Linked DNA regions of Pelodiscus sinensis. The protein of the gene in region 2 interacts with the protein of the main gene of each other region in a biochemical or structural test. Links are inferred from orthologs where the notes say so. Each region holds a gene or a part of one and is shown on either strand. Other genes may lie near its edges.

Region 1 (3,753 bases), about 13 Mb from region 2:
GGAGAAGTATCCTTATTTCCTTACTTCACAGGGGTGTTTTGATTATGAGATAATTATAGGCAAATCTCTTTGTGTAAGAAAAATAAAAGTGTATTAATATAGACATTCATTTAAGCTTTGCTTGCCTTTTCACTGAGAAGTACTAGAGAAACAAAAAGGATAGATGTGGTTCATACCTGATATATTTTACCCTTCATAATTCTGTACTAGAAAAAGCTTGATTTTTCCTAAGCCTTATTTCTTAAATTGTAAGAGTGACCTCTAGTGCTTTACTGTTTTGTTGTATTCTGCAAGTCCTATTTTGCAATAGTTTTAATGTGCCTTTCTGTAAACATCTGATTTAGTCTTGTGAATAATGCCAAATGCTATTAATGTGATTCAATTATCATGATCTTGTGAAAATGGATGTATTAATAATACAGAATGATTAAGAGAATTAATTGTTAATTTCAGATTAACAATACAGAATGATTAAGAAAATTAAAGCTGAGCCTGGACTGCAGCAGGGTTTTTTTCCAAAGAAGCTTAGTATTTATGTTTAGAGCTCCTCTATGCACTGGAGTATCAAATGAGATATGATTACCGAATGACAGCACAAGATCATTTTGGCGCTGCAGTGTGATCATCAGGCTCATTGTAGCATGTTTAGTTTGCAAGATGTCCACAGGAAAACTCTTCAATGCACACAGCGCTTCTAACTTTGTCATGGCTCAGATGTTTGCAGAGAGCTGTCCCCTGCTACAGTGCTGTAAAGTTGTTCCTGAACATTCCCAGTAGCACTAACACCCACATTCTTAAAATGCAGTCACTATCTCAGCCTTTCCCATTCACATGATGCACAGCCAGCCCTTCAACTGGATTAAAAGTCAAAACAAAACAGGGTGCTCATTTTAAACATCGGCCATTTAGGCTACTATTCTGATAGATGTATCAAAAATAAAAAGCTTTATGATTCCCTGAAGCCAAAGGAACTCAGAACAATTACGGAGTTGGTAAATTGCTTGGAAGTTAGTTTCTGATAAATTAGTCAAAGGTCAAAATGCTCAGACTCGATTCAACATTGAAATCAAAGATCCCAGTTCAAAGTCACATATACATCAGATCTGCCTTCTAAAGGACAGATTCCCTTACACAGTGTAATCACCTGTCTCTGTTTTGTAATACTACCCTACTGGCTACCTATGGTTTACTCATTTAAAAAAAAACTTTCTGCTGCTACTGATAGTGCCTTCTTCCTTAGTTGTACATGAGCACTATTCTCTAAGAAATCAGTGCACATTCCAGGAAATCTTGTCCTCAAGATTTTTTCTTTGTTACATTTTCTTTGCTCATAAACTGCATCTTACTATACATAAGTCTTATTTGAGTGCCTGCTTATTCCATGATATTCAGCTACCAGCTTTCTGAATTACCCGGTGCTAAAATCTAAGCTGATGCAGCATACAGTAGAAGTCTTCCAGTAATTTCAATGTAAGACAAAATGCCTTGTAAAACAGGAAACAAAAATTAAAATGGGAATGGAACATGCACTTCCTTGGTTAATTTCAGATTATACTGGAACTTGAACTTCTCAATAGAATTCTGTATATAGATTTGTATAAAAATTTTAGAATTTTAGAAGTTAGACAATGATATTTCTCAGCCAAAGAAACATTGTCAGCCTAGCTATTTGCTGTCATGTTTACAGATATATTAAGCATTTAGTTCAAGAGCAAGATTTATTTCAAAGCTAAATGAAATAGCCCAGAAGTTTTCAAAGCAGTGTGCTCTGAGTTTTAAATAATTTGCAATACTTACATTTATTTCCTGACACTATTGTGTTCCAGTTCTGAACCAATAACAGAAACAGCAGTTTGAAGATGATTTCAGTGACAGAATCCATGTTCACATGTATTGAGGCACCCAAAAGAACTGAGTATTAGGGAACAGCTGTTCTGCACTTCAATCCTATTCTTGCTTCCTCTTCTCTCTGTCTCTCTTTCTGTCTGTGTGCGTCTCTCTTCTTTCAGTGCATCCCAGTAGTCAGATTCCTCAGTCAAACGCACTCTGCATCTGCTCACACATGCACACACACGGCCAAATCTGCTTTTTTTTCCCCCCCTTCCCTAACAACAGCAATCCCTTAAGAACAGCAGCAAGAATCACTCCTCCAATTTCACAGAATCACTCAGGGCTAAACTGCAAGACTACCCTGACAGCTTGCTTACAGAAGCTACACGTTCACATGTGTCCTGGACACCCCTTGTGGTGATAGGTAGGAAATGTGAGTCTCTAATGAAAGCCATATAATATGATAGAACATTCTGCACATATGCACCGGGACAGTCTTTTCTGGGCTTTCACTATGCCCAAGTCTTTACAGTGATTTTTATATATGTGAAATGTATTTATTTGGTGTACATCCTGGTTTTCTCTCCTTTTAGACACTATATCCAGAAAGAACTTTCAGTTGCTAAGGCACTTAGAAATATTATCTTTTAGAGATAATATATTATGTTTCTCAAGCATTTGTGGCAGGAACTCTAAGAGGGGAGGCAGAAAGTGCACTGGACCTAAGTGAGAAAAGTAAATGTAGGAAGTAGTAACCTAGTCTCCATAAGAAAATAATGCCTCAGAAATTTTGTAATAACCCATAAATGAAGGAGCTTCAATAAGATTGGTGTCACTTGGTTAAGCTTGTGTCAGCATTTCCTGACTGCTATTGCTCATTTTGAGGGTTAAAATAAAATACTTTGGTGGATCTTTAGCACACAAGATATTAACATTAAAGATATTAAGTGTTCTTTAAGCTGTCTAAAGGATTGTTATAGGAGTATAAAAGCTTTAGCTTGGATTTATTTTTCAGAGGGATTGTGATGTATGTATTTTAATTTACAGCCTCAAAATATACTTGAAAAACTGGCTAGAGTGGCCATGAATGGTAAACAGAGTAATAAGTACAAGCCTGATTACATGTTAAAGACTATCATTTTATTAGGTCTCTCCTGGCATCAGTGAGGCATTTTGTGCTAACAGTGATCATTCACCTCACAGACTGGTGGAGATTCTGTCACTACCATTTCCTCTTGGTTCCCATGACTAGATTCAGACTATAGACTGCACCGGAGGCTACTAGAATAATGTGCAGATTCACCATATTCCCAGCTTCTCTAATACATGCCCCTGTTCCAACAAGTACCCTCTTCCTTAAGGTCTCTCAGAAGCCTCTATGAATCTCCCAATCTGATATAAAGGTGGAGTTCACATCTCCTTGATGGGCTTTCCCCCCTATCAGGGGTCTTCCTTCAAAGGTTTATAGTAGGATAAACCAGCCTTGACAGCTGGTGTAAATCCTGCCCTCTTTATTGCAAACATACAACTTCAAAACACAGCAGGGCCATCAGTGGGCCAGACTGAAGAGAGTCTGAACTGTGGCATGTTTCAGACCACTCCCCCAGAACTCAATACAGGTCACCAATCAGAGTTGTTTGGCGATGGGAGCACGGTGGGAAGGAAGCCTGGCTAAGGCTCCCATAATCTAAACTTTTGGTTGCTTATCTAAGCCAAGCTTCCAAACATCCTGGCCATTCACTGATTTAACTAGAAATGGGGAAAGGAGGCGGTTTTGCTTTTACACAGCTACAGCACTTTAGTTTTGCAAAGCAAGACCATTGGTGGCTCAGATCAGGGCTTTAATTTAGCCAAACAATGTTTTGAGAGAGATTTGGAGAAAGGTTTGGTTTCTTTCTATCTATGAATGTGAACTAGGGTCAT
Region 2 (3,753 bases):
AAATAGATTAAAAATGCTCTCACATATTCCTTCATTTCAGTTTACTAAACATTTAACTTCTCAGAACACACACACGTACACAGAGTACCACCAGTTGATAACGATGCCTTTTAACAAAAATAAGAGCATGCAGTCAATTATGTGGCAAAAAGAAGAGCTTCAGAAAGGGGGAAAACAAGGACTATGTTTTAGAGTATTATTTTAGACAACAGTTCCACAAAGAACTAGCATACGATCATAGACCTAACATTCGAAAAAAATTACTTGTATATAAAATGTATCCTTTAATCTTTACATATAAATTACATATAGTGACATTTTAAACAAATTCTAAATCAGAATGAAAGAAGTGTAGAAGAGGAAAATTAAAAGCTGTGTTATGGAATGACTGGGCAAAGAAAGCCTGATCTGAAGCACTGGCAATTGGTGGAATACAAAACAATAATGAGCAGGATTTCTGACACCGAGTTTCTAAAGTGACAGGTATAAATGACCCTCATTTTTGGTTACCTATACAAAGATTTACCCTTTATTTCTATTTCTCAAACGTTGATAATGACAACATGTTATGTATTTGTTTGTGGAGGTATGACAGCCACAGGCAGCAAAGATAGGGGCACACTATTCATATTTTGACAGCAATGCAGTGAAATTTAAAGTATTGTGACTGGAATATTTTCCAAAGCATGATAGCTGAGATCCTATGAAACAGGTTAACAAAAATGCATTAAAATACTTATAGTAGGATGTGTTCTTATCACCTGGTATAATGTGCAATGAAGGTAAAATTTAACAACACATGCCGTGTTTGTCCCCCTTATTAGCGCATCCTTAATATATGCAGAACCAGAAACATCAATGCCTTATAGTCCATTTTCTGTCCCATTGTTTTAGTTCATGAGCAGTTATGGCATCAGAGATCTGTAATGCACAATACAGTAAGCTGAAATCCCTCATCATAATAAAGCCACAAGAAGTGGAAAGCCATCTCATTTTTCTGAAAGCTCAGGCCTAAGGTCCCCAGTATATTCCCTAAATGCAGATTTAAACATAACGACAGCAAAACAAGCTTCAGTGAATTGCTGAAGAATTGCTAGACCAAGCTTCCCAGAAAAAAAGGTGGAAGATATACATCTGTGATGACTGCAGGCCTGATTTAACCAAGCCACAACCTGACTGCACCAGCATCCGTGAAGAAGCTGGTAAGGGCAAGAACAAATCAAGTGGGCTCTGTTCTCTAAAAGTGGTATCTGACAATACCAGCTTGTCATCCCTGTCCTTGTTCAGACACACACACACACACAAAGTGTCCCAGATCCTGGGATGCACTAGGGATGGGAACAATTTCCTATTCCTGGAACCTCCAAAATCTGTCAAGAGGAGACCAGCAGCACTTTCTGCAGGAGATGTCATCTTCATCCCCTGTTCTGCCAGGGCCATGTGCTGCCTCTGTTCAGTTGCTACAGTCTCCTCCCCACCTCCAAAAAGAAAAAAAAAATCATTCCCCACACTATCAAAGGAAAGTAATCTATTAGCTCCAGTGAGAACACAGACCAACATAAATGGTTTCATAACAATAAATCCCCCCCCCAACTCACCACATTTTAAAAAAACATAATGATTACTGTGTTGAGACTATCTGCAGCAAGAGCTGGCCCCAGGGGCATTAACAAATCTGTGTATCTTTCACTGCAAATCTCACTCTCTGTCTCACACACACACCCCCTCCTAAAACCTGCCGTCTCCCATCCCCCCGCCCCACTCCCACTGGTGCATGCTGCACACAGCAAGTGCCTGCCACAACACTGTGCACTTCTGATGCCGGCGGCTGCCACCACCTCATTTTTTCAGTCGCAGCATCCTCTGCTGCCAGCAGATCCGGGAGGGGGGAAGGGAGAGGAGGAATCATGCCATATCCCCCGGTCTCTCTCAGCCAGGTTAGCTCACATCCCCTGCTCCCCGCGCGCGCACACACACACGCAGCCTTGTGCAGGCAGCCAGGCCCTCCTGCAGCCGGGCCCCTAGGCAAGCCCTCAGCCGCAGGCGGGCTCAGCATGTGGCCGCAGCACCAAATCCACATTCATTCGGGGCTCGCCGGATTCTGTCCCTTCGCGGTATTTCCTTGCGCCCATCCCCTTGCCACAGCGGGGCTGGGGAGAAGCCTCGTTACCTCGGCTGGAGTCTGCGCAGGCCCCTTCAGCAGGCAGCGCGGTGCTGCTGGGGCCGGGGAGCAGGGCAGCCAGGCGGGGAATGAGCCTTCACTTCAGCCGCTCCTACCTCCAGCTCCACCATCTTCCTCCCCCTCGCTCCTCCTGCCGCGGCTCCAGCTCTGCAGCCACCGGCGCGCAGCGCCCGGGCCAGCCCCTCTCCTGCGGCTCCGCCCCTGCCCCGCCTCCCTCCGCGTGACTGCCCCGGGGACAGACGGAGGCTCTGTCTCGCCCAGCCAGACAGGGAGAGAAGCGGGCTGGGAGGCGGGCGAGTCACTGCTCCTCCGTCCGCCGCAGATACAGGCATGCGGTCCCTCCCGCATCAGCGGCAGGGGCGGGCATGCAGCTGCTCTCCTTGTCGAGAGCCAACAGATGCATCCCTGCTGCAACCAAGCCCGCTCACATCCACAGCACAAGCATGCACCAGCCCCTCTCATCAACAGCGGCAGATGGAGATAGGAGTAAGCTATGCAGCGAGCCACGCTCACATCAACAGCAAGCCCCTCCACACGGCCAAATGTCCACCTCTTCCCCACCAAAGCCTTCACCACATTTAACCCAATTTGCCCTGCTGCTGAAGGGAGGACATTTAAAACTATGGGCGCAGGTTTGTTTCAAAATGTGTGCCGAAACTCCATAAACAATTATGCAACTTCGATTTGCGTCTACACCTATCTGAGTTTTGTGCACAAATGAAGTAAATGTGCCTTCAATTACTTCTAGGAAGCGCCACTAGGTATCTGAGTTCTCTTGTACTAATTTGCCTGCATGCACACATTGAATGTGTGATGTGGGAAGGGTGATAGGTGTGCATTCATTTTTTCTTGTCCTGGTAGATCTCTTGAGACTTTCATTATGAAATCTTTTTTTTTTCATTTAAAGGAGGGAGATTTTAAAAGATTTTTGAAACTCAGTGAAAAATAATTCCCCATAGACCACAAACTATAATTAGTGTTTGTAAAGTGTGAAATACTTGGAAGAAAAGTAAAATAACAAATCAGTACTTATCTGAGAATGCAATAGTTGTTACTATGCTAATGTTAATTCAGAATTTAATCATCAGCAAGAACAAAACTTCATTGATCCTTCTGGGAAGCATCTATCACTGATAAACACTACACTACCAGAGAGACTCTATGCCACACAGCTGAGCCATTCTGATTCTATCCTATAAATCGAAATTAAACCTGTACAACCTTGTCAGTTACCTACAATATCCCACTAATGCAAAATGTAGAGTGAAATGTATAGTTTAAAAGTGTATGTTGTACAATAAGGCAAAAGCCCAATTTTTCAGGGAACACCTCTAAAACCTGAATACAGTACTATGGTGCTTTCTGCTTCACTATCACATTCTCCCCCCACACGCACTCACACTGCTGTAGAGAAACCTTTTCTTCCATTTCATTTTTTTTCTTGCTTGGTGTCTTTATTCATCAATTTAATGTACTTGTTCTTTCTTTGTCTTCCTCCCTCCTTGAGATGTCTCCTAGCTTTACATACTGGAGAGAGTGTAACTCCTCATGGCACTGGGGCACAGATGGGA

What was found. The genes of interacting proteins can lie anywhere in the genome.
Region 1: the proteins of APBA1 (region 2) and CNTNAP4 form a complex in vitro, tested with the Homo sapiens proteins (2 studies listed by BioGRID and IntAct, with this or other methods). The link is inferred for Pelodiscus sinensis from reciprocal best matches to the Homo sapiens genes APBA1 and CNTNAP4.

The regions. Positions count from the first base shown.
Region 1 is NC_134716.1:45,710,936-45,714,688, forward strand, and holds the start of CNTNAP4 (contactin-associated protein-like 4), read right to left. Parts: upstream 2,189-3,753; 5' UTR 1,883-2,188; coding exon 1,798-1,882; intron 1-1,797. UniProt on the Homo sapiens protein: Presynaptic protein involved in both dopaminergic synaptic transmission and GABAergic system, thereby participating in the structural maturation of inhibitory interneuron synapses.
Region 2 is NC_134716.1:32,505,329-32,509,081, forward strand, and holds the start of APBA1 (amyloid-beta A4 precursor protein-binding family A member 1), read right to left. Parts: upstream 2,396-3,753; 5' UTR 2,171-2,395; intron 922-2,170; exon of another isoform or gene 762-921; intron 1-761. UniProt on the Homo sapiens protein: Putative function in synaptic vesicle exocytosis by binding to Munc18-1, an essential component of the synaptic vesicle exocytotic machinery. May modulate processing of the amyloid-beta precursor protein (APP) and hence formation of APP-beta.